Oreochromis niloticus: one gene and its partners. The protein of the gene in region 2 interacts with the protein of the main gene of each other region in a pairwise test. Links are inferred from orthologs where the notes say so. Each region holds a gene or a part of one and is shown on either strand. Other genes may lie near its edges.

Evidence for each region.
Region 1: the proteins of l3mbtl2 (region 2) and bend7 interact in binary tests that used the Homo sapiens proteins (3 or more experiments, as listed by UniProt). The two-hybrid records come from large-scale screens. The link is inferred for Oreochromis niloticus from reciprocal best matches to the Homo sapiens genes L3MBTL2 and BEND7.
Region 3: the proteins of l3mbtl2 (region 2) and stac3 interact in binary tests that used the Homo sapiens proteins (3 or more experiments, as listed by UniProt). The two-hybrid records come from large-scale screens. The link is inferred for Oreochromis niloticus from reciprocal best matches to the Homo sapiens genes L3MBTL2 and STAC3.
Region 4: the proteins of l3mbtl2 (region 2) and tbc1d9b interact in binary tests that used the Homo sapiens proteins (3 or more experiments, as listed by UniProt). The two-hybrid records come from large-scale screens. The link is inferred for Oreochromis niloticus from reciprocal best matches to the Homo sapiens genes L3MBTL2 and TBC1D9B.

What each region holds. Positions count from the first base shown.
Region 1 is NC_031972.2:55,932,325-55,940,157, reverse strand, and holds the start of bend7 (BEN domain-containing protein 7), read left to right. Parts: upstream 1-4,735; 5' UTR 4,736-5,956; coding exon 5,957-6,020; intron 6,021-6,617; coding exon 6,618-6,695; intron 6,696-6,780; coding exon 6,781-7,134; intron 7,135-7,330; coding exon 7,331-7,450; intron 7,451-7,527; coding exon 7,528-7,833. Other genes in the region: prpf18 (pre-mRNA-splicing factor 18), read right to left, coding at 48-119, 204-344, 1,111-1,179, 1,354-1,500, 1,671-1,784, 1,905-2,006, 3,580-3,606, 3,833-3,910 and 1 more.
Region 2 is NC_031973.2:22,453,166-22,460,750, reverse strand, and holds the start of l3mbtl2 (lethal(3)malignant brain tumor-like protein 2), read right to left. Parts: upstream 3,071-7,585; 5' UTR 2,681-3,070; intron 2,675-2,680; exon of another isoform or gene 2,544-2,674; intron 1,621-2,543; 5' UTR 1,548-1,620; coding exon 1,197-1,547; intron 1,112-1,196; coding exon 1,006-1,111; intron 924-1,005; coding exon 790-923; intron 1-789. UniProt on the Homo sapiens protein: Putative Polycomb group (PcG) protein. PcG proteins maintain the transcriptionally repressive state of genes, probably via a modification of chromatin, rendering it heritably changed in its expressibility.
Region 3 is NC_031984.2:24,445,054-24,452,541, reverse strand, and holds the start of stac3 (SH3 and cysteine-rich domain-containing protein 3), read right to left. Parts: upstream 3,144-7,488; 5' UTR 2,831-3,143; intron 2,180-2,830; 5' UTR 2,147-2,179; coding exon 2,139-2,146; intron 1,669-2,138; coding exon 1,590-1,668; intron 1,172-1,589; coding exon 1,015-1,171; intron 907-1,014; coding exon 809-906; intron 685-808; coding exon 624-684; intron 1-623. Other genes in the region: mbd6 (methyl-CpG-binding domain protein 5), read left to right, coding at 6,077-6,192. UniProt on the Homo sapiens protein: Required for normal excitation-contraction coupling in skeletal muscle and for normal muscle contraction in response to membrane depolarization. Required for normal Ca(2+) release from the sarcplasmic reticulum, which ultimately leads to muscle contraction.
Region 4 is NC_031966.2:36,275,381-36,282,576, forward strand, and holds the start of tbc1d9b (TBC1 domain family member 9B), read left to right. Parts: upstream 1-4,066; 5' UTR 4,067-4,312; coding exon 4,313-4,421; intron 4,422-4,791; exon of another isoform or gene 4,792-5,199; coding exon of another isoform or gene 5,200-5,263; intron 5,264-5,572; coding exon 5,573-5,581; intron 5,582-6,169; coding exon 6,170-6,280; intron 6,281-7,196. UniProt on the Homo sapiens protein: May act as a GTPase-activating protein for Rab family protein(s).

The DNA of each region.
Region 1 (7,833 bases), on a different chromosome or scaffold from region 2:
AATAACTTTGCAAAAATAACAACAGAGGCTACATGATATTATCATACCTTGACATATTCTCTCTCCAACATGAATTTTATGATGTCTGTGATTGACTCTTTGATGTCAGCTTGTAAGTTCTGTAAAAGATAATGATGAAAAGTAAATCCACACATGAAAGAACCACGCACTATAGTTTGTTTTGCTCCGGTCACATAAGTTACCTTCTTCCTGAGCTTCCTGAAGAGAGGCTTGAGGTAAGACTCGGTCTGCGAGTGTGTCGCACTGGCCAGCTTGCCCTGAACGCTGCGCTTCACGTGGTCCTCTCGGCTGTTCAGATCTTTGGCCCAAACGCCAAGAAGAAACTAGAGTCCAACAACAAATATTTTCTTTGAGGAAAATGTTTCCAAGAAATGCAGCGGTAACCAACACTAGACAAATATCCATTATTTGAACCACTTCAAAAAGAATAATGGTGCGAAAGGTTAAACTTTTTTAACTATGTAAACATATAAACAGCAGCAGGTATAGTAGTATGACTTTTTTAAATTTTTATAATTAATATTAACCCAAGAGCTCCCTGTAAACTAGGGGTGTCAAACGTAAGGCCCAGGGGCCAGAATCTGCCCCAAAAAACACACCAATTAGCCCCACTGGAAAGCTTTGGAAATTGTGAAGGGTATAAATTTGTGGAAATTTAACTTTAGTTTTACAATTTTTCCTATTGATCTAGACCTCCCCTAGAGTTAAGTAATAGATATACATTGAAATGAGAGAAAAGCTCCTGTTTTTCACCATCTAAAAAAACAAAACATTTTCTTTAAATTAATAAAAACTTTTATTAATAGAAACTCTTTTATAAATACTAGACAATCTGTTCCATAAGCTCACAGAACTTTTTCTACATTTATCATGTAGAAAAACTGAGATGCACTGTTCAAATGCTTCTTCTTTCCTTACATCAAGTCATCTCATAGACTACATATGTAGTTAAACGTCTTTACACTGAGAGAAAGGGGCTTTTCACTCGTCTGTCCCACTTAAGATCAAAGTGGGCTGTATGTGACTCACGGTGTGAAATACGTTTGACATCCTTGCTTTAGATCAAAAGGTCAAGCATGAAATTCTTACCCTCAAAAATTTAGCAATAACATCCTGGTCTCCATCATCATCACCTGTTCCAAGAGTTTTTCCAAGAGCCTAGGGGGGATAATTTCATTATTAACACAAAAACACCACCCACAAACATAAAATGATTGAAAAAAAACAAAAAAAACCCCAAACAAACTGTGCCCAAAAATTGATCTGACAAAAAAGAAAAGCTATTTAATAACTGGAGATTCATTCTTTCTCCTTGGACATTGTGCAATGTACCTCAAGTTCTTCTATTGTGGTGTTTTCTTCGTGCACTTTTAGGTCATGCTGTGTGTCCAATTCTCCTGACTCTGTTCCTCCAACAATCTCATTCAGGTACTGCTGGTCAATCTTGTCCATGGCGGCTTTCAGATCATTCCTCAAGCCCTTGGCACAGTTAAAGCAGCAAATATTATTAGTGTCACTAAAATAAATTCAATATGTCCTTAATACAATCAAGAACATTAGTAGTGACATACAATTTTCCAGAGTAGATGGAATAAATGTGAATTTCAACTGCATGTTTTTTCCAAAATCCAGTTAACTCTCAATCCTACCTTGTTTACTTCTGGGGCCAGAATCTCAATTTTCCGGAGCCTCTGGAAGGCATCATAATCGGACTCGCCAAACAATCGGATCGGTTCCCCTCGTTCTCTAAGTCGTCGAATAACCTACACAAACACAGTGATGCAAATCAAATATTTATACACTTGGTGGTAAGCAAAAGAAATGTTATGATATTTAAAGGAAAATGAATTAAAGGAAAGTGCTGATGTTTTATACTGACTCACCTCCTGTCGTGAAAGTGTCATTGGGAGCTTCTCTTCTGTGAGCTCCAGTTCCAAGACTGGATTAGTTGAAGTGGATGGCTCATCTTCCTCTTTCTTCTCAATCTTATGGACAAAATTGAGGGAATAGAAATACGCCAGCATTATTGGAAGAACATTAGGGCAATTTGGAGGATCTGAATTTAATCTAATCTTCCTTGGCCAAATGGCAAATAAAACTACTACAAAAAGAGGGGGGGGGGCATTGGCAATTTCTTCATGAGCTGAGACCTCATGACCAAAGAGACAAAAAGGCATCAACAAAATAAGCAGAACTGCAAACATTCACACCACTCCCTTACCTGCAACTCTTCAAGAAAGACAAGTAGCACAATAAGTTACCAAAAAAAAGGAAAGAATATAACAAATAGTACATCAACATGATAACTTTCGTGGCTGTAACATCTTATGTGTGATTTAGGCTTCTGCGGGAAATCTACATCCTAACTAACGACGCAACCGGAAACCCCTGTTAACCCTAGCCGTTGCGGGCTGTGCTGACCTGCTGTGTAGTTACATCAGATTACATGCAAGGTTACAGCATAGGGTTAAAAAGTGTTTTTGGTTACATTGTAAGTAACAAGGTCGATTTCCCAAAGAAGTCTAAATCACCCATCAGGCGTAATCACAGGAAAAGATACTCTGTATTCTTTGCACAAAGAAACTCAAAATATACCCAAATCATGCTTTAAAAGGCACATGCATGCCAGCACTCTTAGATTGTGCTTTTTATACCACAATCTAAAAGAACAACCAGCAAATGGTGACAAAAAGCCTTCTGAGCAAACAACAGCTCTTTCGCTTTAAATAAAACATAGTACGCTGCCCGTGTACAAAGAGAATGGCTTAATGAGCCAGGTTTTTAAGCTTTACACAAAGTATAACATAAATACAATCTGCCACTGAGCAGCTGTTAAAATGTCACGGCAAACAAGTTGCACACCATAATTTGCTTAAATATTAAAAGCTTCTGTCACAAATTATCTGCAAAAATAAGAAGCAGAGCTTGATAACAAAAATACTTTTCCATTTCAGTACATTATCCCATGCTGAAATCAACACCGTGGCAGTGTCCCACTTTTGCTTTGAAGCTTCCTTTCCGTGTTCCTTTGCTTTCTGACAAGTGGCTGTAATATGTAACTAGCCTGGCATAAGGCAAAGCTGTGATAATGACTGTGGCACATATAAATATTTCATTTATATGACATTTAAACTATGTTGATAATTTGGAAATGACACAGTTTACCATCCACAGAACGCAGGTGAGTTTAAATCAAGCTTTAAAATGCTTTCATGTTATTGACTAAAATTTTAAAATCACCTTGAAAAGTCTAAATTTATCCAGCAGAAGTGAGCTGGTGAATATTTCCATTTGTGTACAGCTGATATCCAATTATTATACACTAAGTTACTACTAGGTGAGTCCAGGCATCCTGTACCAAAATATCCTCGTGCTTGTGTGGTTATTTGTAACAACCAGAAAATGTGCCCTCCGCTACGTCTTTTCTGTTTTCATCCCAACAGATTTCAGTAAGAACTTCCAGAAAGGATGCCTAGGAAGCATGAGCGTTTAGGACACAGTGTGTTTTATCCTTTTATCATGCATCCTGTTGGCTACTTTCACTGTGCAATGCCATACCTGGCTCTCAGGAGTCTCTCTCTGAACCTACAGATGCAGGCAGCAGAGGCAAATTGGGGAAAAACACCACAGTAAACACAAATACAGACACTGTTGTACACCTGACCATCAACACCTGTCCTTATCTTTTTTGCTGGCAGAAAGTTTACTCGTTATTTTGTGTCACACTAACCAAGCCAGACAGTGAATTAAATAAGTCTGAGTGTCTCAGGAAAATCGAGAGAGTGAGAAGCAGAGTGATGTTGACATGAACCTTGTATCCGCATCTTCTGAAGTAATCTTCTCTTTCCTTCTGTGAGAGCTCAGCCCTTTTAAAGAATCTTTTGGAGTCCTGAAAAGAAAAGAAAAAAGCAGGTAAAATGAATTTATGCTATCATATGATATCAATATCATATATTATTTGGTGGTGGTGATTGGCGGGGGTATTGTTGATACAGTGGTACAGGTAGGACGTTATGCAATAGATAGCATGAGTTTGAGATGAATTTGAGCTACGTGTACCTAATGAACTGCCATGTGCCCCTAGCTCTCCCTAGCTTACTTATGTTTGCATAAAAAAATTATATGTTAGGATGAGTTTAAACGGCATAAATACCAGAATTTCTGCTTAAATCGTGATACTATAAAGGTAATGTTCTGTTACGTAGCAGCAATTACAATTCGTAAACTACAGCTCTGTGTTTAGCTTAATCCTAAAGTTAGCTTTATATTCTACTGCAGATGGAGTTCAGTACTTTATAGATAAAGCTATCGATATGGATGAAAAACGATCATTCTAGAAATACTTAACTAGCCTGGTTAAACGACGTGTTAGCAACATAGCCAAGCTAACAATAACAAGCAACTTCGTCGAATACTTACTTCAACAAGATTTTTTTCTTCGAGGAGTTTCCTCTTTCTTGCGATCTCAGCTTTAAGTATATCCATCTGAAAGGTTTATTCTAACAAAAAACGGCACATTAAGGTCAGTCTGCGTTTACCCAAACGTTAGAAACACGATTGCCTAAACCGGAAGATAACAAGAAGCTTTTCAGAATTTTCAAAATAATTGTTTCAAAATAAAAGCATTAGAACACAATGTAACCTGTGTCTAATGAATCTGTTTTTCAGTGAATTTAAGCAGACACCAAAAGAATAAGGTCAAACAGATAGAAGAAAATAGATACTCCTTTATATATTATTTTCTGGATATGTATGCACACTAGTTAGCCAAACATTGGGCTAACCCAACAATTAAACCACTGAGTTGTGGTTATCGCAACACCATGTTCTGCTGTGAAACATTTGGATCCTAGACTCTTACCTTGATAATTGCAACCCACCAAAACAGACCAACACCATTTCCAAAACACTACACAGTAGCTAATATTTTGAGGACAATGACGGGGCCCAGTCAAGCTCCAAGCCCGAAAACCTCTAAACTCACCACTGTGATCCCACTGTGTCAAGCATCAAAATGGACCGAAACAGGTTCAATCCACAGATGCCCCAAGATCCTAAAAACTGCTGCCAAACAGGGAAATCTGGAAAAAGGGTCAACACTTAGGGGTGTTTGTTTTACGTATCTGGCAGTTATGCTCTATACTCCAAGAAGGGAAGATGAAAAATCCTCACTCAATCTTTTTTAAATCCTCCAACATCTTTTCTAGATTGGTGATAAAGAAAATTATAGCGAAAGAGACTAAATGGCCTTCACTTGTAATAGGTGACTCAATAGTACTTCCTATATTTTCTGCCAGTGACTCTAGAAGTACACAGTTGTTATGACTGGAGGAGGAAGCATGATCCCTTTAATGCACTACAATAGATTTACAAAGATATCAACCACGGTAAACACCAAATACCTGGTAACTGAGTTATTTGTTTCTCCTTTCAGTCAAACAACGTTTGGCTTTTGGCTCTTTTTTTTCATCTACAGTAGCCTGTAAAATGAAGTCCTTTTAAAAAAATCTCTAAAGTTTGTTTTTCTGTTTCAATGCTGTTTGTGTTTAATACCGGTTCACAGTTTGGACACCACTAGCAAATGTCTGACTCGACCTTTCAGATGAGAACATACCATCAGGTGGCGCAAAGGGATATGTGACGATTTTTTAATATTAAAGTCATTAATTTATTTACATGACGGAAGCCAAGAAGCAGCATCATGCTGGCAAAGGGAATGGACTGTAGAATACAACTGAACGGGTCACTTTGAGCTTAACACTGCGAATATTTGCGAAGAGATGAGAGAATCTGTAGCGCAAGCAGGAAAGAAATTTAACTGATTAATAAGGCAGACGGACAGTGATTCCGCTGAGTGTATCCTAGTCAGTGATTTCGTCCTCCCGAAGAGCGAATATTTTTCCACTGCACGACTTACTGGATATTCCACCTGAAGATGGAGTTTGGAGAAAGGAAGAGGAGAAGGAAGTCGCAGAGCTTTAAACTGGTCACGGATGGAGGTAAGCTGCTGAATGAATGCAAGACCTTGCAAGACGCGCGTCTGTGTCTGGGTGTTTGTCTGGCGCTGTGCGCCAGCAGAGACGACTCTGTAAACAAAAGCGATAGCCGCGACAATGCCCAGTCTGTGCTTCGGTTTTAACCAGCAGCTAACTCTAGGGATTCACATCTTGCATGTAAAAGAAAATAAAAGAAACATCCTGGACATCAGTCTGAACGCGTCTCATTCCGGGTAGATTTTTAAGACTGAATTAAGTAAGCAAATTGAATAAAATGTGAAAATATATTGCGCACTCTGAGCTCGTAACAAGGAGCTTCAACTGTGCACTTTTTGCTTAAGCTGTAAGGAACACACCACCTCTCTTGACTACACTACTTCATACCACCTACAGGTGGTGGTTTTTGCATGGGATGGGGTGGGGGTGAGGTGGAGGGTTCTGCTTTGGCAGGCATCACAGCTCATTAGCCCGCACAAGCTTCAACCTTAGAAGGCAAAAGGCCGCAATATCATTCTATGACATCTGTCACCAAGGTTTTGTTGCGTTTCTTTACAGCTGTGCTTCATAACGAAACCATTCTTTTTTTTTTTTTCTTTGCAGATTTCGAGCCTTCATATGTGATTAACTCCAGCTCCAAAGATGCCAATGGGGAGCCAAAGGATGGTGTTATGTCTGATGGTATGTGGGATTCAGAGAATGAATTTTGATTATATATCATACAAGATGTCGGTAATTACATGAGCACCATTCTCTCTTAATGTAGTTTGGCTGGAGGATGAGGGCATGGAGATCAAAAGACAAATCACAGGAATGATGAGGCTTCTGAGCGATAAGACCAGCAGAGTATACCAGCGTGCTGGTACAGAGCAGGATAGCTTAATAAAGGAGCCCCAGGAAAAGCCTCTGAACTGGGTAAATCAGCCTGCACTTTTATCTCTGGTGTCAGAGGACCACCAGAGCAACAGCTGGAACTCTGCAGAGGACCCAGGGCCTTCACCTTCATCCATATCCATCCCAGTCCCAAACGGCCCAGGCTGCGGCCAGTACAGCACACGCTCCAGAGCCCTCAGGATTCTCAACAGCACAAAGGATTTAATCAAAGTGAATGAAACTAATGGTAGGATATGCATGTTTGAAAGGAGAAAACTACTAAACAAACCTTAAGTTATTTGAAGAATAGTGAATTTCATTAAATATTGAGTGCTGAACACCAGAAGTGGCTTACACCTTTGTTGTTACATTAAAGCATGTTTGCACCTGTGTGCATATGTTAGAGTGAACGAGCGCTAACAAATGCATCCCTCATTTCCCAGCAGATGTAGTTCCTCCTACTGTGCCAGAAACCCCCTGCTGTATGTGTAACTGTAAGGGCACCTTGCAGGCTATTTTGCAGGAACTACGTGCCATGAGGAGGTTGATGCAGACTCAAAAAGGTTAGTAAATGAATACCAATACACACCCTAAAATAAAGAAATAAAACACAATATAATGTTTTTCTGCCTTTTAATAGCATCTTTAGAAAGGCAGGAAAGGGCAGCACCACCATCTCAACCTCGCCTAGGTGCAGGACCCAGTCCTCGCCACAGACCTCGAAAGAGGAGGCCAATCTATAGGATGACTCCGTTATCCGTGTTTAGCACCAGAAGAGCTGGTCTTGCTCCTCTGGATGCATCACTGCTAAAAGCTGCACCTATGGAATCTGTAAAGAGGCGAGAATGTGAGAAACAAGACTCATCTACACCCAACAATCATCCCATCTCCTCTGACATTCCTGTGCCGCCACCTCAGACCAACCCAGTGACGATCAACAACACCC
Region 2 (7,585 bases):
CTGAAGACTTGCTAGGCAACTCCATGGCCTTAATGTGCTTCTTCTTTAACCACTCCTTTGTTGCCCTGGTTTTGGGTCACAGTCATGCTGGAAAACCTATTTTCAGTGTTCTGTATGACTGAAGGTTCACATTCAAGAGCTTACGGTACATGCTCCCATCCATTGCTGACTCAATGCGGTGAAGTTGCCCTGTATTCCTTGCAGAAAAACAGCCCCAGAGCACAACGAATCCACTTCAATGCTTGACTGCAGGGATGGTGTGACCATTCATTTCTTTGGAAGTGAACAAACTCACAAATTCAGCAGGGGATCAGATAACTATTTCCCCCACGATAGACACAGAGCCAAAATCCCAGTAAAAAAAATAAACATTTCATAGTTTCAGCTTTTAAAATGAGTGAATTTTCTGCGATTGATTTTAGTTATTTTCAATAAGTCAAAGATTTGTGACATTTGTTGGACAATGAAAGTAGCATGCTGGTGGCAATCAAAGTCCAAGACAGAAGCCTGCTGAAGCCGTTCATGCATTTACTACAGGATTTTAGATAATTCTATGGTTTTTGAAACAAATTAAAGCAATTCCACACCTGTCTGAGCTGCTGAGCGACACACTCACGAATGGAAAAACTAGTACATCTCTTTGCCCAATCCAGTGACACTGACTGTGTCAAACTCCCCAGATGGAATATTGAATAAAGCAAGGCAGCTAATTCAAACTGCTCCTCTGGTGCTCCCCAGTGTTCAAAAATACATAAATAAATATATTAAAAAAGTCAAACTCTTTCTCACCTGCAGACGTGCTAGAATGGATGACTTCTTAGAGTTTGATGAATAGGAACGAGAGCAGGATGTACTGCAGAAGCGCTTAGTCTTTGAATAGAAGTTGTTGATATTCCCGGTTGTTCCACACATCTCACAAACCACTGTGGAAAAAAATGCAATCAAAAAAGTTTTTTCTTAATGTAAAACATTATGAACATTGTTAAGAGTGCAGGTGCACCTCACCTGGTCGCTCGTTTAGTGCCTTTAACCCTCCTCCTGTCAGATGTCGTTCTTTACCTCTTTCATTAGTATCTTCACACTCTAGGGGTGCCATTTCATTGTATCCAGCCTATGAAGGAAATAAACAAACATCCCACCTGTAAACAGCAGGTGTAATACCCCCCAACCCACGATCCAAAATAAGTGCTACTCACACTTATGCTTTGCTCGCTTGGTTCAGCTGTAATGGTCCTGTGTTGGATAGAAGGCAGGCAGCTACTGCAGCCCGCGCCATTGCAGGAAGGACAGTGCGGACGGACAAACACTGTAGGAGCAGCTCCTGGCCTCAGCTTCAGAGGCCCCGATGCCAGTCTGGGTTCAAAGTACTCCTTGCCAAAATGTTCATTGCAAAGGTAAGAATTGGGTGTGGCAACCCACTGCATGCGGGTGCGCTGGACCTGCTTCTCCCATTTCCGAAACTCTTCAGGGTCCTTGGGGAATTTAAACAGGGTTACACCATCTTCAGTAGTTTTTCCACATCCATAAGCCACACAGTGGTAAGGCATCCTCGGAGCTTACACCATGACCACCTTTCATGGATCCTTTCTTCTTCTCAGTTGTGCTGTTTTGTTCTCTGAGCTGTGCAAAGAAAAGAAATAACTGTATCTTCCAACCAGAAGTTGGTTTTCTAATTTTCACACACAACCATCTCTAGGGTTTACAGAGAACGGTCCAAACAAGACAAAATATCCAGTGAGCAGCAGTTCTCTAGGTAAAAATTCCTCTCTGATCCCAGAGGTCAAAGAAAAATTCCCAGAGTGCTATAACCTGACAGAAAAGCACAACTCGTTGCAACCAAACTATGCTGAGCATCGCTAAGATGGCACAACCTACCTAAATATTGCTGCTGACCATTTCCACCTCACTGAAAACAGTGTACACATCTTCTGATCACTGCTTCCAGCAGGATAACACACCATGTCACAAAGCTCAAATCATCTTAAATTGGTTTCTTGAACATGACTGTACTCAAATGGCCTCCGTAGTCACAAACCTGCAGTAACTGTGTGGCGCCATCATGTCAATATGGACCAAAATCTCTGATAAATGTTTCCAGCGTTATGAAGAATAAAGGCACTTCTGAAGGCAAAAGAGGGTCCAACACACTACTAGCAAGGTGTACCTAACAAAGTGGCCGGAGAGTGTGTCTTGGCTCTATTTGCCTGATTAGGGCATTTTCTGCATTGAAAAACCTACATTAAAATAACAGGAAGCTTCGCATTTTATTTTATCTGTAATGTCGACATAATGTTTAACAAACACAAGACAGTGAAACATGACAAACAGAAGTTTGTCTTGAAAAGGCGGTCCTTTCATCAATGTTATTATTATTTCTAATATCGCCGTTAAAGCAAGGTTACAGGTGACTGCTTCATAAGTTGAGTCAAAACGTATACAGTGTAACTACTGTACACCAAAGCTAAATGATAACAATGCTAAAAGTACATGTGTGCAGTTATGAAGCTGCACTTTGCTCGTCATGACTTCAAATGTGTACTTACGGGAGGTAAGTGAATGCTGGCACTCAGTAAAATGTCTCTTAGGTGTACAAACTGATTTGGGTATCAAATTTTAATGTAGCTTCATAGTTGCCCGGTACTGTAATGTGGTCGCTCACATTTTAGCGTCATTTACTTACGCGTGGGCAAGGAATTCTGGGAGTTGATGTTTTCACGAAAATTGGAAAAAAGTCGCTATCCTGGTCACAAATAAGTCATTTTAGAGGCATTCGGGTGTTTGTACGCTGGTTTCACTCGATAATCGTTAAAATAAAATGTTACTAATTGGAGTAATGGCAGTAGAGTAGATGTTTTAGTGGTCTGCAAGAAATCGGTCTATGAAAAAGAAGTTTGCGGACACCTTGCTATTCAATAGTTAATCTTAAGATTTTGCACAGTGTGGAAAAATAAATAAACATAACCAGTGATGAGGCGAAATATACAAACTTCAGATTAAGTAAAATATGTTTTGTAATTTAGAATATTTAAAGCAACCGCTGCTGGGTTCAGCGCTGACAACAAATGGCAATACCTCTATGAGGCAGTCATTTTTTTTTTTCTCGTAACATGTGAGATTTGTTATGCTCCCTTGCAACCCTACTGGCTTTGCAGTGGCAGTGTAGTAGACTTTGGGCGTTGCCCGGGCTTAATTGCTAGTTATCTGCATCACCTGACAAGGTGTGGATGAAGGCAGACTTCACGCTGGATGCTGTAATACTCTCCTGCTTGCAAGTTTCACCTTTGAATGTATAATGATTTAAAACCAAAACAACCAAAAAACCATGTGTTTCTGAAAAAATCTGGTGTCAGCCTTGATTTTGTGTTGAGTCAGTATTGGTGGGACATAACAGCTTAAAGGTTGACTGGTGAAATTTCTTGACTTTGAGTTGTGTTGCTCCTAAGTAGTGCTGATAGACAGCAAAAAGTATTTTTTGGCTACTGTACTTAGTCATATTTTTGCAAGAACTGCTTAACTAACTAAAGAGAAAGCACCTTAGAATAGAGGATCCATCTGTGCTTCTCAGAGCTGAAACATCTCATCATCAGCTTTTTGGAGAAGCCCCTGAAGAATCATTCCTCGTGGTGACTGCCCCAAAAGGAACCACTGCTAAACTAAATCAATAAGAAAAATAAAACTCAGAGGAATTGAATTTTGAACCATTTGAATGTGATTTGGCAGTAGCTGCTGAAGTGATGATATTCACAAGTGTGGTTCCCAAAAGGAAGTATGGAGGAAGAAGAGGGTGACACACATTTACTTCAATCATAATAAACACACAAACGAAACCAAATATATAATGTTTTGTTTCTTAATCTAGACACTGTGTTCATCAAATGTATTCAGTTAGGGATGTCTTGATGAACAAGATATTTTGGCAGTCACAGGTACAGCTGCTCTGACACTGATGATAGATTTAAGTTTTGGGAGGCTTGGAAATATTTAAAATTAAAAATTATATTAATTCACTTGTATTTACTTATAATTTTGACAGCTGAGAAGTTTTGTTAAACCACATTAAAGCAAAGTCATGTTAAAGAAAATAAAATTTGCTTAGGACTGTATGCAGTCCTGTGAAAAACTAAGTATACCGCTATTGCTAATACAGAAATGAACAGGATAAGTAGCAGTCAGGTTTGCTACTTGATTAATTGATCATCCGTAAGATGAGGTTTTGGTAGTTCGCTAGTCTGGATCATTCAGGTGAGTATTAACACCATGCTAGAGTCTTCTCGGAAGTGGATGTCCCAGCAAAAAAAGAGAAACTGCAAAAAATCCTAAGAGCTACATCTCAGCCTCCAGCATGCTATAATTTAGCATGTAGCATGCTAAACTATAAAGTTTGTCGCAGTACAATTAGAAAAAGCCTGAAGATGACTGTGTATGGCTTCTTTGGAAGGGTTGCCTACTCTCTAAAAGTAACATAGAAGCAAGGCTTAGGTTTGCAAAGTTGCATCTGACCAAATCACAGACCTGGGACAATGTCTTTTGAACAGACAAGACCAAAGTGGAGATATTTGGTCATAATGCACAGAACCACATTTGACCAAAATGAATCTCAGCATATCAGCACAAACACCTCACACCAGCTGTCAAATGTGGGGTGATGATTTAGGCTTGTTTTGTACCCACCAGGACCTGGGCACCTCAACCATGAACTCCTCAATGTACCAAAGTATTCTAGAGTCAAACATGAGGCCATCTGTGCGACAGCTAGCTTGGCTTGGCTCAAATCGAGTCATGTAACATTACAATGATCCCAAGCACTCCAGCAAATCTACAACAAGTATCAGAGTATTGGAGTGAACAAGTCAAAGGCCAGACTTCAGCCTGAAATGTTGCACCTTAAGAGAGCAAGTGAGAGAAGAGTGAGCCAAAATTATTCTGTAACAATGTGAGAAACTGACAAAGTCATACAGAAAGTGTGCATTTCACGTTATTGCTGCTAAAGGTGGTTTTACAAGTTGCTGAATCATGAGACGCACTTAGTTTTTCACAGAGTCCTATGAAAATGTACTATTTTACAAAGGAGTGTTTGAGAAAAGACATCATGTCAGAATAAAATCTAAATACTTGGAGCAAAGATTTAGAAACGGACATTGCAGCAGAAGACTGGAAATTGTGTTGCAACTGAAACAGTGAATTCACACCTCAGATTAACACACTGTAACTGGTAAATGCGAACATCTATGTAAGTCTTGCAGAATCTAACCACAATAAAATGACTAAATGCACAAAGACTGAATGTTACACTCTGGATTAGACAAATGATGCCACACCTTCTACTCAAAAGAACAAACACAAGGAGTTATGAGCAATATCTGAAAAGTTTTAGGGAGCTTTCTTGAGCTTTGTGATCGGTATGTAAGGAAACTGGAGAGAATTCTTCTTAAAGGACACAATGCAAGTGTGTCCTTTAAAATGTGTTGACGGTTTTATTGTGGAACAGGATGGTTTGGAAGCTACATCTAAAATAGGACCAGTGAATTTGGTGACCCTGTGACCTGATCGGGCTAATGAACAATTTGTTTATACTTGATAACAACTGAATGTAATTGGAGGAAAATTTTGGACTTTGACTTTTCTACAGAATATTAAACAAGATCTAATCAAGTTTTCGTGCACTAATGTAAGTGTACTCAAATTGCCGCTAAGACTTGGTACTTTAACGTACTGTAGTGCCTGCTGTTTTGCTTCTTAACAAACGTGCAATATTATAATCTTTTAATCCCAAAGAAAATGTAGGTAATTAAATGTGTAATCTAGCTAACATTAACAGATGGTGATGCCACTAGTTTTGCAGTAATATGAAAAATGATCAAATGACCACACTTAGAGAATATTCATGAGATTTTTGTTGTTGTCGTTTTGCTTTGGGGGGGTTTTTAGCAAATAGGCAAACCACAGATCTCAAACTAAACTATTTTTAATAGCTGAACATACTGACTACATTCCGTATCTTGCTTTTTCTTACTTTTTACCTATCATATATGTATACTGCATATTTTAAAAGAACTTTTTTTTCTTTGCATGGCCACATAGCAAAGAAACAAAGATGACTATGATTCTGATTCATGAAACATACCTGAACAAACTTAAAATGGCACATTCTGGAATTGCAGAAGAACATTTCAGCTATCAGAACATCTGCCTTACTGTTACCCACACTCTGAGAAATCGCAGGTGTAGTAAAAGTGCATTTCTTTCTTAGTGTGTGCAATCTCTACACACTAGTCATTACTGGACCCTAAAGGTAAGGTAAAAACTACTTCCTGAATATGGAATAAATGCAGTAGTTTTTACCCTTTTTCTTATTATTCTTTTTCATAATTATGTGCACCTTTTTGAGGTACAAAAAGATGGTAAATGGCTTGGTCCTTATATAGCACTCTAAGTGCTTTATACATGCCTCATTCACTCCAGCACTTTTTTTTTTTGCACCTAAGTGCTTTCTAGCTAGCATTCACACACATTCATGCTGTGATGAACGAATTACAGAGCACCTTTGGGTTCAGTATCTTGCCCGAGAATATCTAGGTATGCAGGCTGGAGATTGGAGCAGCCAGGGATCGACTCACCAACCTTCCAATTAGTAGATGACCAGCTGAGTGATATATAAAGCATAAAGTGTATAAAGCATATAAAGGCTTCAGGTTTAAAAAGTACATCTTTACACTGTTTCTTCAAGGCATAACATTATGAAACTATCTATGCTTAGTAAGATTGAAAAAGAAAATGTTACTCTTATTTATGTCTTGATGCATTCTCAATCATCCAGGAAAGTAAATCTCCAAAAGTTGAATCTGTTCATCTGGACGTAGCGTTTTGTGGGAGAAACGTTTCTCCCACAAAACGCTACGTCCAGATGAACAGATTCAACTTTTGGAGAATTACTCTTCTTTAGTTTAGAAAGCCTTCAATGCATTATCACAAGTTTCATTGGACAGTCTATTGCACCAGCATGATGGTGCAGTGGTTAGAGGAGTTGCCTCACAGGAAGAAGGTTTTGGTTTCAAAGCCAAACCTTCCTGGAGCTTTTCTACTCCCTGAGGCTGCTGTTTTTTTTTTTTGTTTGTTTGTTTTCATCTAAGAGATTTAAAGATCCATCCTATGTTAACTACTGTTTCTAAACATATTATAAATAAAAAAATTTCATCAACTGATGTTTAAGACTGGTTCATGTGTCTTGTTCATCCTTAGCTCATTGACAAGCCCTTCCGGCAGGCCTGGATAGAGAGGGGACCCTGTTAACCCTTATCTGTTAGTCTTGAATCTTGTTATTTGATGTTCTATTTGGTTGCCATAGTTGGGTATTGTTACTTTTAATTTTTGTAATTATTTCTACCTGCATTTGAGTCTTCAATGTAGATTATAACTGAATGCCACAACCAACAAAATAAAGCCTTTGGACAGCAGCAAGCGGCTCTTTCCTTTTTAAAGGGGACTATTGATCTGAAGCCATAGCTCACCCCTGAGCATGGGCCTCACCAGTAAAGGTGTACCACACCTTCCTAGTTCCTCCTTAACTTTGGTCCTTCCTGCTAGC
Region 3 (7,488 bases), on a different chromosome or scaffold from region 2:
ATTGTTTTTTTCAAGTCACTAAGGGTGTATGCTGTACAATCATTTCCCCCTGGAACAAGAACAAATCAAAGAATTAAAATGCTAAAATTACCATGACCTTTGTGATAAATTCTTCTTATTATTAAATCACTAATATTTAGCAGTTGGAGCCACTGCAGTTGCTGCACGAAGGACCAGGGGAAATAACAAAGTGAAGGTAAGTGAATGTGAATTACGGAGGGAAAATAAACAAAAAAGAGTTTGCTGTTTCACTTTACTTGGTTTCTTATTTTAGTGTTAACTAAATGTATGAAGCACTGGGATAAAAGGATCAGTGTTATAGTGACATTGATACATTCTGCTGTTTTTCTAAGAAATATTATTTCCCAACACAAAGGTCAGAATGTTGCTTGAGCGTCTGCTTTACACTGTTCTTTAAAAATGTCATTAAATTAATCATTTCAAGCATGTTTAAGTTTAAAAATATTTAAATGCACCTTGTCAAATATAATGATCGTAAGTGTTGCTAAAGAGGAAATGCAGACACCGTGCTTAGTTTCCTTTGCGGTAGCAGCCTTGAATTTAAGGTTAAGAAATTTAGATACACAAGAGATATATTGCCATGCCAGATTCAGTGGACTCACTTGGGTCTGGTTGGTCACTGCTGTACAGGGGGGAGCTGTAGGCCCTTCTGAATCCAGGTGGCTACAGGAAAGAAGAAAAAAAGTTTTTAATAAAAGTTTTAAAAAATATATCTCTCTCACTCTCGAGGGCAGTAAAAGGAAACTGCAGATATAGTTTCATATCCAGTGCACACCAGCAAACTCACAATTTTGCCAAAACACCTCTGAAACTCGACATACGACTGACATGAGTGGTGGATGTTGGTCTTACAGTTTTTGCATCTCAGGCAAAATTTGTTGTTCACTGAAAGATGAGGAACCAAAATTAACAGTCTCAATCTTTAGAACAAATACCTATGGGATTATATGATGATTGATTATTTATAACATTAATATAAAAAACAGCACTTACAGACTATCATGCGAGCGCAGACGTCACAAAACTTGGGCTTCTTGCAGTAGTGGTCCTTGAATTTGTGGGGTTTGTCATTGACCCGGACGATGGGCTCTGAAGGAGATTCTGGTTCCTTCTCCTCCACCTCCACTTCCTCCTCATATATGAAATAGACCTGCAGACCCAAGGGACATATCTCAGACAAAAACCCCCAACAACAAACATGTGATAGAGTTGTTATATAAGTTGTTATTAAAGTTTTTAAATGTTAAACATACTGAGCTGCCAGTGTCAATGTCACACAGTATTATGAAGTATTACATTAGTGTCTTGCCTTGTTTGTTTATCAGCTGGTACCTGATCTCTGTCTTACATTTAGCTTTTCAGGACCTAGTGAATAACATTTCGATGACTAATCCAGATCAGCCAGCAGTGCTCATTTTTTCCATAAGGTTGTATAAGACAGGGACACTTAAGCTCATATTGTTTCCAGCTGATGCTGCACTGCAACCCTGTCCCAGTTGGTGGCTATTTTAAACAGCCCAAGAATGGCACTGCTAATGGCGGGGGGTTGACATGGTGCTGTCACTCACAGTGTCTCCGTCCTCCCTCACTACATTGTCAGGAGCTGGGGGGTTGTCATGGATATCCACAGAGTTTTTGTCATCGTCCCTAACACACACACACACACACACACACACACACACACACACACAGCCATGAGTGAGGTTAACTGCTGCGACTATAGATAGTTATTTTATTTATTCTCAACATTATGATCACTTTTTATTCTAAAGGAACATGTAAGCATATAAAGCGAGGAAAAAGGTTTTGCCTATAAACAAACTTTAAAAAAACACAAGTAAAGTAAAACTCCCATTCCACCTTAAAATAGTAGAATCGTGGCAATTTAATATACGACTCAATTTGTTTAAGGATATCCTTGCCGCACATTCTTTCAAGTGGACATAGAGCTGCTTTAGACACAGATGATGCTCCAGAATATTTTTCTGGCATGGGCTACTTCAGTATTTAGTAAACAGGAAATGGAATTAAGACTTAAATGGTAAAGAAGTGCTACAACCAAGCCAATAAAATGAGTATCAAGAGGCAAGTATATTGATTTTAAGAATTATACTTACGGATCCATGGTTTGATGTAGACAGCGTCAGTTCACCCCCACCTAGAAAGTGAACAGTTAGGTGGGTTTTTTTCCCGAAAGATGAGACAGTTTGATAAAAGTGATATCATGAGAGAATGTTCTACTAATTATTTGTTTACTCAAAACTTTGAATGACTTAGCCCATATGCACTATTATGTCAAATTGTTTTCAAAGTAGGTGAAAAATCAAATACATATTCCTGAACTTCTTAGAGGGAAGTTTAAAGAAATATTAGAAAATAAGCCTGCATTTGGTTTTTTATTAAAAATGTATTTAAAAAAATATCAAATATGGTAATACAATAGAAAATATATTTCTGTGTCTGTGTGAACGCTACATGCACTTGCATATCCACACAGTGTTAGAATGTGCTTGTCTTCTATACTATTCTAGGGTTGTGAAATTTAATCTCATCACAGCTAAATTTGGCTGCCTCTGTCAGCCAGGAAAAAAGCAACTAAAAATTAAGAAAATGTTATGGAAATAAAAAAAAAAATCATAGTTTGTAAACTGACAGAGATAATCTCAGAGTTGGGGTTGTTTAGCTCGTGTTTTAAAACTAATGGAACTTCACTCAAATTAATTCAAATAAACTGAGTGATTATAACACAGGTCATGCACAAACATTTTTTTCCATTAAAAACATTCTTTAAACTACAGCAATAACCTACCTTTTGTCTAAATTTGTACAGATCGCACTGAAGAAATCATAAATCCGGTGTGCTGGCAAAATCTCAGTGAATGGGTTTTCACCTGCTGGCAATGACCAGAGCCCTGTATGGTCAGTATGTTACAAAGCAGCTTCACTTCAGGCCCTCGGGATGCTGGGCTGTCACAAAGTCTGGTCCCTCTGTCTTCTTTAGATATTTTCCAAAGTGACTTTAGGTTGTAGTTTGAGTGTATATCTGGAGTTGTGTATCTATGATTTTGGGTGTGTGCTTGTGTGCATGCCAGGCTTAGCGGTCCTATGTCAAGCTGACACTTTGCAACAGCTGAGGACCTTGGACTGAGCACCGATGACGGGGGGGAAATCAGATACATTTTCTCCTTCTGTCTTCAATACATCTCTTTCCCCTTGTCCCACTTGTTCACAGACAACAGAAACACTGCTAAGCATCCAAGCATTCCATATCATGCTGTATCTCTGTGCATATTAATTATTATTATCGTTGTGCTATACAGTTATGATATGCCCCTTACTATGTTTTACTACAGATATATATGTATATATATATATATATATATATATATATATATATATATATATATGTACATGCCTTAATGGATAGAGTATGTTTAACTTTTCATTTAAATTTCGTGATATGGGCCACAAATGCAGTGTAGACAGGCGGAAGTGAATCCACTATTGTCAAGTGAACACATGTTATTATTCTGTCATTATCATGTCCTCTGTCAAGGAGCTGAACACAGCTTCATTCAGGTCTGTCTGGAACACTACAAAGGTCCCGTTGCATGTCGGGTACAATATTCCTTAAGCGTCTAATGCGCATGCTCAACAGTAAAAACTCCATTATTTTTTGCTCGGAATTTGTGAGAAAAAAAAAACAGTGGGCAACTGTGAACTGGGGATTACATGGGCCGTTATGGTTGTCGGAATATATTTGAAAGCTCCACGGTTTAGCAGAAGAGAAAGCAAAACAACGGCCGGATAGCTGCAGACCGGGAGCGGGACATCCTTCAGTCTTGTCGGGACACTCCACAATCAAGTAAATTTCAGTCAGTTAGCTGACTGGCTAGCTAGCCTAGCTGGTTGCAGCGTTAGCTCCGAGATCCCAGGCGCAGTAAAATGAAGCGTTATTGCCCTTTGTTTTTAAGTCGGACTGGCAGACGTTGTATGAATGCTGAGAGCTGAATGAGCACACCGCTGCGGGAATTGGATTACACAATGACTTATTTTGCGCTCATTTATTAAAGTATCAGCCGTTTTCAAAACATTATCTGGCTAGCCCGTTTGCTAGCCAGCTAACTCTTGATTCTCCCGCGAGCCAGAAAAGCCAAGACTCCAAAACTTCGCCAACACAGAGCCTGACGCAGAGAAAAGGTTGGTAGGACCTGCTACTATTGACGTTAGCTAACGGATATCAATAAGTAAAGTGTGATGTAGGTATCCGATTTATAAGAGGTTTTTTCACAACGCGGTATTGTGCGTGGGTCGTATGTTGTTACTGCAGCTAACGGGCAAGAGTTTTGTATTGGAGTGTTTTGTGCGCCTGACAGCTGTCACGACAACACAGTACAAAGTAGGGTAGCTTGCTAGCCTAGCTGTTAGCCTGGACGCTAGCTGCCGTGTATGAGCCGTGTACTTTGTGGGATGTTTTTTCATACTTTACGCAATTTATGATACAAAATTAAGAAAAAAAAGGATACATCAGTTCAGAGCTATATTAATTGCTCTTTCATGTGCCAGGGTGTTCGCTTCGGAGTTGGTTGTTGCAGCTGCTTATACTGTCGCTAAACACTGAGTAAACTACGGGCCTAGGCAAACACACCCTTCTACTTCAAAGCAGCTAGAGCTTACTCTGAAGTTCTTCTGGAGAAGACTAATACATCTGATGTAGTCGTTTTTCAAACACGCTTAGATCATATCAGTTACAGAATAGGTTTATTGCACGATATCTTTACCGCGGGGGTCGCTGCCAGATTACATAATCCACCTCCACCTTTCTTTGCAGGCTCTCCACCTTCACCCACATCCCTACTCTGATGTGAACTGAACTAATAAATCTGCAGGAGTCATCCTTTAAGTGAGGGATCTGCCTCATAGCTGAAGAAAGTCGAGGTGTTTGGGCAAGTCAGGTTTTACTGGCAGTGTGCTTCTAACCCACCAGCATGTACACTGGACAGTGGATACTCTAGCCAAAACAGATCCTGGCTTCCCAAAGATGACAAGGTATGCAACTTTCTTTTTGTTTGTCTTGGTATTACTTTTACATTGATAATAAACCAAAAACCTTTCTTTTGCTGTGGCCACTCCCCCTTTTCAACATGTTTACATCACATTCATTCTCTAGGGGCTTGTATTATCTTCAGCACAGACATAAGAAAAGAAACTGCAGGGTACTTTCCCAGAACTTTTTGACACACAGATGATAGCTAAAAAGTAAAGGAAATGATGCTGAATTAGTAGAGTGGAATTAATTTGCAGTGCTTCCCTTGTTCATGCTGCTTACTTTAGTTCAGATCTTGGCTGATTTCATCACCACGCATAGGGTACATTTTGTAATGTTTGATATCCGACATCGATATTTGATGTTGTGTAATAAGCTGAATGTGACCTCAACATTAAGCATGCAGGTTGGTTGAAATAAAACATTAATGATCGCAAGATCTTTACTGCAGAAACATTCACCCATCTTTTGTGTTTACTTTTTTCAGTGACTCACTCAGGCTTAGTGAACTTCCCTGATACTTGCACAATATACAGTTAAATGAGGAAAGCTCTTTCAGAAGAGAAGAGCAAAATTTATTGTAGCATAAGCATGACAAATTGAACTATTTTTCCAGTTAGACTCCAAAAAGTCCCAGATGAAAGTGGTGGGGATGAGTAAGCATCTGGTTCATGGAGGCTTTAGTATAGATACCCTTGACAACCCGGATAATGTAGAGATAGCAGGATGAGGGGGCAGGATAGATGGCTTGAAACCCAAAATAGATGCTGAGACTAAACAACTGTTTCCCCCCTTTTAGCATTGGATGTTTTTTCGCGTGTGCTTAAGTAAAGTTGTGCAGTAGGGGATACCACAAGGGTTAAACTTTCCTTAGAAGCAGAGTCCCTGGGTCCACTCTTGACAGGCTGAACTGTTACTACATGATACCTTCATGTTACCCCCCTCCTTATGTTAAAAGACAAGATGTGTTAACACTTCCTGCTTTTTAAGGTGCTGGCAGGCTACAAAATGATGGGAGGCAGTGATACTGTCAGTGGGGACAAGGATGGGGTCCACACCACTGCAATACACGTCCCCATCGGCTGGCAGAGGAGAGTGGAAGGAGGGCAGGTACTCTATGTCAGGTACGTTGGTTCCACACACATGAACTTGCTGATTTTTAATAGTTGGGCAACAGATTTTGAAAGCACACCATGAATAATTGTTACATAATGTATTCTTGAAAAATGACAGTACTGGTTTTGCCAACAAATTTTGGGGGATATTACCTGGCAGGATGACTGCAGTTTTGGATTCGTTTTTTGAAGTTTGTTTCTAGCTATAGACAACAAAGAAGACAAGAAAATGGTTTTTTTTGCACTTTTTAGGAAGTGCAAAGCGAGTAAAATTAAATGTATTCATTTTAATGTTCTATTTATTCTGGGGAGCACTTATTCTGGTTCTATTTATTCTTATTCTGGTAGTTTTAAATACTCATCTATTCAAGCATACCAGGTCTTTGTGAGGGCTCAAAAGCAACTGACAGATTTAGGCTTTCTATATATATATATTATGTTGTTTCTACCAAAGAGAAACATATTTTTTTCTTTGTTATCAGTCGTTCATCCTGAAGATCACCTAAAGACTTCTTTGATTTACTGCAGGTGTGCTCCACTCCACACTTGCCCTCTTCTTTTGCTGTGAAAGGATTCCCCTTGCCTTAAAATACTGGGTAGCTGAGGCAGAGAAAAAAGTATTTTCATTTGGATACCAATATTTTTGTTGAACAGTGGTTTGGATCATGCTTGAATTTAGACATAAAATATGACATTATAAATATGAAATTTTGTATTACTCATTACTCATACTTTTTAGCCACTGAGTTGGAAAGAAACTTGGCTGAAATTAACTGTTCACTTTAATGTTAACCATAACCTGCGTTACTAACTAATAACCCATCTAATGCCAGACACCCCAGCCCTGGAGCAAGACTCTGAAACTTTGCCTTTTTTCAAATATACCCTGATTGAGACTTAACGATTCACAGGAACTTATGCTATATGTTGCTAATTCTCCATGGAATATTTTTTAATTATTGGGCCAGTTTGTGCATTTTACAGGTGTAGAAGCACCACAGGAGTGGATTTGTGTCCTTCAGACTCTCATATGGGTCAGCAGTGTTTGCAGATGACACTAGTGGTTTCTGTCATTGAACTGGATTGAATTAAACCTTTTTTTAATAATTATCTTCTGCACATTCGTACAGTCAGGAGGGAAACTTTTACTCCTTGACTGGGAGTCTCAAGCCTGTAGCTCTCTTGCCCTTCTCCATTAGCTCCCCGTGGCTCTAACCAGGAAAAAAACACAAACTGCATGAATGTTATGATGGAATTGAAAAATGCACAAGTAGTTTATGTTTATCAGCTGACACCTTACTCCTA
Region 4 (7,196 bases), on a different chromosome or scaffold from region 2:
ATTTCGCACATGACTATGAAAGGTGGAAGAGGAAGTAGTTCCTTTGAATTTAGACAATCCGAATGGTATAGTTTCTTTCCACTGTGTTCCTGTTAATGATAAACTGCAAATGTACCCTAAATTACTAAAATATCGATATTTTAATGTGAGAATCGATTCTAGAACATAAATGACTGGTATTGGAGGAATCGATATTTAAGAGCACGCGCATTTTTGGCGGTCCGGAGCTGTAGGGGAAAAACAAATGAACTCAGAGACACAGACTGATGCGACAAAACCAGTAAGCAGGTGTACAGCGCACACTGTAGTCTAAAGCACACAGGAGTATTATTACGTACACTGTAAAATCTAATTAGTTCCCAGAACTCAAAAAAATTGAGGAAACTCGTTGCCTCAAAAAAATTGAGTAAAGCTTAGCTATAAATGACTAAGTTAGGACAACTTATTTATTTTGAGTACTCTGTACAAGCTCATTTGTTCCCAGAACTCAAAAAAATTGGATCAAGTTTACGTAAGATGACCAAGCAGGGGTGGATCTAGAGAAATTTTCTTAGGGTGGCAAGAGGGTGGCAAAGAAATCAAATGGGGTGGCAAAATCAAGGCTTTTTTTTTCAAACACATATGCAGGTGGTTACATATGGTTAAAATGATTCAAATGCAGTAAGTATACACGTTTTTCATATAAATATAGTCTATAACTTAATTATTGTCTGTAGCCCTGTCAAGAGATTTATTCTAAAGACACTTCTTCAGCTGAGAGTCTAAGGGTAGAAACACACAGACGCTGTGGTTTTCACTTGTATACAAGGGCGGTCACAGAACGCTCACACCAGAGTGGGGGCCCTGTGGTGCGCACCCTGTTACCGGTCTTTATTTATATACAAAGCAATACTACAGTGAATACGTCTATTCATAGGCAGAGGAATGTTAGTGCGTAGGGAGTGAAGATAAGAGTGGTTCAGGTGTATGTGTGTGTGTTGTGAGATTCAGAAGGACGCAGCCCCTCTTTTTGTTAAGGAGCGCAGATAAAAGTGTCCAGCTCTCCTCTTCCTGCTTGTTCAGCTATTATCGCAGTGAGAAAGAATTTATAAAACAGTCTTGTAGTGGACAACAGTCTTAGTCATCAAAAGGTCAACATACAGTATTCTATCATATGCAAACTTATATCATTAAAAGCTTATACTGACTACTAAGTACAATTTTCCATTGACAAGCCCACATAATTAAACACTTTAGTTACATAAAACGTGAGTTTTGATCTTATGTACTGTACAGCCTGTATAATAAATAAATATGTAGCCCAATGAGTATAAAACCCAGAAAGTTACACAACATGGGGTGGTTCATTTACAAACACAAGTCTAACTTAACTTTCACACTGTTTTTTGTTAGAAAACAATCAGATTGTTTGATGCTTAAATTACACAAAATGTCAGAAATCTGCACTGTCATGAACAAAAATTTAAACCTAATTTTTCATGATTTGTTGGATTAACCCACTGAGGTCTGAAATACAACCGGCCATTTTTGACTCCTTTTGAGTTTACGTTTGTATTTCACCCTCAAATTGTTTCATTTTATTTTTTTCCCCTTGCCTTGTTTGGTTTCATTCTTTTCAGCCTAACTGAATTTAGTTTTTTTTTTTGTCACTGACATATTGCATTAGTATTACTGATCTGAAATCACACAAAGAACTTAAAATCCTAGTAGTATCTTTTTACTGTAAAAAAACCCACAGACATGTTGAGTAAATTTTTATAACTTGAAATGCAAATATAAAATGTACATTTTGTAAACATATACAACTATTTATCTAAAAATGCAGCCAATACACCTGCCGTTTTTTTCATTTTGTACAACCATTTAAAAATATTACTAAAACTAAAATGAGAGAACAATCAGGTGTTGCAATAAGATGCCCCACAAATGATGTGTGCCAGTAAAAAAAAAGTTTGTCCACCAAAAGACAGAGGAGAACAGCACAGGGACAAACCTGCAGGCCTGACAACAGGAGGTGTATCACTCCGCTGGTTTTCTACTTAGTGACAGTGTTTAAGTTGCAAATGTGCCTCAGTGACATTCATTAGTGCCCTCACTGACACACAAAACAAAACGACTACACAACAGAACAGCACAAGACAACACAACACACTAACTGTACACTCCACACTAAACGTCACAAATCTCCCACATCTAAAAACTCTCTCTCTCTCTGTCTCTCACTCGCTCGCTCTGTCTCGCTGCCGTTACCGTCACTCTAAAAACTCTCCCCTCTTCCTAAACAACCAAATCCCACGTGTTGACTTTTTAAAAAATTGGTTGACATGGTGCATTTTTCCACCGATAGGAAAGAGGTGGCATTTTTTCCTTTCTTTACTGTTTTCGCGCTGTCCTTAGAAAACGCTTAAAACACACACACACACAATTATCATAACTCTGGATTTACTGGCCTGTAATTAAAATTTAAAAACTTTGAAGTCCGAACTTTCAATGTGGGCTGAAATAGAGACTCAGCGTGGCTGCAGCTTGTTGCTATGTCAGCTTACATCAGTCATGTGATTTGGAGGTGCAGCGTGTCCGTGGACCACAGAGGGTTAATAACACTCACCTTCCTTCCATTTCCAGAGTGTAACATCCAGAATCCGAAATTCCCATGGTGTTGTTCAAAATGTGCTCTGGCACAATCATAAGCATCTCTTGCTACTGAAAACAAGAAAAAAGCCGGTCCCTGCTATGGGCTGAACCATTTGTTTATGGTGGAGGGGGGGGGGACACTATGCAATATATTCAGTTTTAGTATTTATATTCACTGTTGACTGTAACTACGCTCAAACTGTTAATGCTATCTTATTTTAATAAACAACACTGCCATATGCAAAACTGAGGTGGCACTTGGGGTGGCAAGGAATCATTTTAGGGTGGCACTTGCCACCCCATGCCACCCTTCTAGATCCGCCCCTGGATTCTTGATGAATGTGTGTTGTTGTTATTCAGCCTGGTTCAATGTGCCCCTTTTTAGCTTTGAGCACCCGCCCCTATAAACGTCTCTGCACGGCCCTGGAGAGGTGGTTGGACTGACCGCGGTGGGGGAGAGGTATGGCTCTGTATGCATGCTTGATGTTGGAGTAAACACGATATAGAGTGTTCTCTCCTCTGGCGGGACATTTGACATGCTGATAGAACTTTGGGAGCAAAGTCTTTATGTTGGCCTTATTAAAGTCACCTGCAATTACGTGAACACCGTCCGGGTGGGCCTGCTGCTGTTAACATGCTGGGAAATGATCTGATCTGATCTTTAGGCGGCACTAAATGACAGAAGTGCATGTACAGGGGTGCACATAAGTGGTCCGCAGGTGCGCATTCGCTGTCAAAATAAAAGACGCGCACCAGATAAGAAGTTGCAACATGCTTTTGCGTACATAAGATTTTCTGGAGGAGGACAGACATTTGTTTAGAACTCCTAAATATGTCGAAGCAAGCTCCTTTAAGCAATTACTTTGGTGTTCCTCCACCTCCAAAGAAATGTCAGGAGTCCGAAGCGCAAAAGAAGCCTGCAACCACTTTTCCGAGAAAAGTGGTTGCAGGAGGTGAGCTGGCTTCAAAGAAGAGCTGGCTTCAAAGAAATGATGAACGCACAGAGATGTGGTGCAGAATATGCCGTGAAAATCCCACTCTAGCGGACAAAAACAGTGCCTTTTATATGTACGCAAACGCGCGTTGCAACTTCTTATCTGGTGCGCGTCTTTTATTTTGACAGCGAATGCGCACCTGCGGACCACTTATGTGCACCCCTGTGCATGTATTTATCTGACACAACACCTCTGACACAGTCCCTGAATACTGGAGCTCCTAAGTTCACGTGTGGGATCGTGTAACCTATCACATGACTGTGGGGAAAGCTTGAACGTGGCTTTGTTCGGCTTTTTCTAAATTACATTTTCTTCTCCTGAAATGTAAACTTTAAGCGGTGTTTTGGTAAAATACATTTCACAGCCCCTAACCCTGACAACAGCGCCGCCTGCTGTTTTTTGCTTTAACGTTTCATAAACTGCAGACATGTGGACGTCATGACGCAGCGTGCGCAGGGGAGTGGCCTGACACCCGGTAGTAATGTGCAGTCATCAGACTGAGTGAAAACAACAACATCAGCTCGATGTTTGCGTGACTCTCGCGGAGGCTTCAGCGCCTTTTCCTGCCGTTTCCCCGGGGGAGAGACAGCCCTCGCACGCCGACACTCCGGCCTCTGTCCCGCTGACTCCCTGGCCTGTGTTCCCCTGAGCGCCCGGAGGAGGGCCTTCGGCAGCGGGCAGAAATGTGGATCCACCCGGAGGAGGTGCTGCTGGCCGGGGCTCTGTGGGTGTCCGAGCGGGCGAACCCGTTCTTCGTCCTGCAGAGGAGGAGGGGGCACGGCCGCGGAGGGGGCTCTCCGGTGAGTTGGTATTTCAAACATTAGCTCTGCGGCAGATGGAATAATCGATTAGTGATCGATAAGCTGAAAGTTGAAGATCCGGGGGTGTTTGCTGTTTTGTGAGTGGGTGATCTGCGGGTTAATCAGGCACGAGCAAAGATGGAGGCAAAGTTTGTCTACAGGGTAAAAATGATTGGTTTGAACTTTAGCACACATCAGCAAATTTCCACGTGATTGAACGTGATGCTGTGCAGCTAACCCTAACCCGGACATCACCGTTAGCTCACACAGTGCTGTAAAATAACTGACGTACCAACATGGCTGCTGAGTGACCTGCACACTCAGCCCACATGCTGCTGTCTGTTAGATTTTACTGCGTGGATGTGTCTGAGGTGGAGCTCCTGAAGATGGTGTTCATTCGTGGTGTGCAGAAAGTGACTTGCAGTTCGAAAACCAGCTGACAGGAAGTATGATTCATGGTCTGACTGCAGGATGCAAGAAAGGTCCTCAGGGGTCAGCTGACAGGAGTGTTTACTGTCCCAGTAATCGAGTTTGTTGGGTTGAAAAGTCACAGTATTTTTAAAGAAGTGGGGGTGGACAGGTGTGAGGCCATATACAGTGCTGGGGTGGCGGGTCGTTTCATCATCGCAGCAACGTGAGGAAGAAGGCCCACTGTCCAAGTGAAGCGTAAAGAGAAGAATCTGTCAGCTTCAGAAACAGAGAGGTTAGAGTTTAAAAGGGCTGAGCAGCTGTGGTTCAGCCTGCAGGACGACGACGAGGAGGTCTCACTGATGCTGCCACAGGGAGGTGCAGCAAAGCCTCACATGGAGCCTGAACATGGAGGAACAATCAGAGGTGAAGACCACACAGCAGCAGAGACCCACCCTGAGCTGAGGTCCGTGTGCTCAGTGTGGAGAGGATACTCCACAGAGTTTAGCTCTGTTCGGTGTCGTGTGATGATCTATATGTCGTAAGTGGCTTAATTTGTAAATACAAAGAATCTGGTTTGACGTCTAATCATCATTCAACATTCAACCAGAACGCCTCCTACATGAGGTGTTTCCTGTCACACTGGGGGGGGGCTGATCCGGGACACACTGAAGACTCTCGGCTGGTTTGACAAGGCTGCAGTAACGCCCAAGACAACCTGGGGCAGGTGATCAGGGAGAACAGGTGTGTCGCCCTGCAATGTATGTGTAGCTCAATGGGAGGCATGGCTCTCATAGAACGATGAATTCATATGTACGATATAACTAATTAAAACTTTTGAGAGTTTTTAAAATTGCGTTCAGCTGGTGGACATGTACATGTGGTCACCACTGAAATGATGAAACAATGTGTCAGAGTAACGACCTGGATGCTGCTGGGATTTGGTTTAAGTCATTAAATGAATTATTTAATAGGTTTTCATGTGCGAGTCCACCTTGGGAACCAGACCAATCAGGGCCAGCGATTGCAGCACCATAACAGTTTGACAGAGGACCAGTCAGGTGTGACTTGCAGTTAAATCACAGACAGGAACCATCAGCTCTGTGACCATCTCTGAGACTCGGACCGACTCGGCTCTGACGTGTCCGAGCTCTGCCTTCAACATCTGTTCAGTCAGAACAGAACAAATAACTGTCTCCCAAAACCAGAACCGTGAAGGTCTGGAACAAGAAATGCTCTCTGATATGGTCCAAGTCCAGAACACCTTCAATCCAAACACTGATCAGATCCAGATAACTGCCCAAGTTGCTTCACCTGTCTGTCTCTGTGCAGGTCTCCTGGTTGGGACTCTGGATGTGGTTCTGGACTCCAGTGCCCGGGTAGCACCGTACAGGATTCTGCTGCAGACTGCGGACTCTCAGATCTACTGGAACATCGCCTGTGGTGAGTGGGCCTCGCCGAGCTACGAACGTGAATGCGGAAAATGTCATTTCTGTTCATGTTTACAGGTAAACGTGTAGAAACACAAAGGCGGGAGTCATAAAGCAGAGGGCCGCTCTGATGCGATGAGCTCGAGTTGATGCTTCCAGCAGTTTAACTCGCAGCCTTCGACTGCTGCTGTTAAAGATCTCTAACATAAAAAGTTGCTTGTCATTTTGGTGTGACAGTCACCATCCCCGAGGTGAGGAGACTCGCTGAGCCAGCTCACCTGCTGCAGAGCTTAGTTCAGTCCAGTTTTATTTAAGAAGTGTGAAATCTCAGTAACAGCTGCCTGGAAAAAGCTTCATACTGTGAAGTAAGAACTCTACAATAGCTCAACAATTAACAGGTGTATTTTCCCCAAAGCTCCTGTTGGCTGGTCTGTTCCCATGTTCACTTCAAAAGCATGTTTGTTTGCGATGTCACTGCTGCCGTCACACTGTCACATGAATGCTGAGCTCAGTGATCACTGCCTCTGAGAGCCTCCAAAGAGTTCTGATGCATGAACCTCTTGTAATGACCTCCACTGTGACCTCAAATAGATGGAGAACATTTTGTCCTCAGTCTGCACAAAATATCTGCTGCCGTCGCTCGAAAGGCCTCTGACTGTTTCCTCTGGTGAGGGGGAGGACAGAAACTCACAAGTTCATCGTCACTGAGGTCGACACCATGGGCTGAGGATGTCTCCTGTCCAAAGATTGCCCAGATTATCCTTAACTTGATGATATCATAGTTGGACTGGCTGTAAGCACATTGCTTAAATTCAGTTAACGTAACCGTGACTCTGTGGTTCAGCTCCATTTTAACTGGCTAAGATCTAAATCATTTCACAGATTTGTAGTTACCTGGTTAGCTCACCTGCAGCTTTCCTGGTGGACGG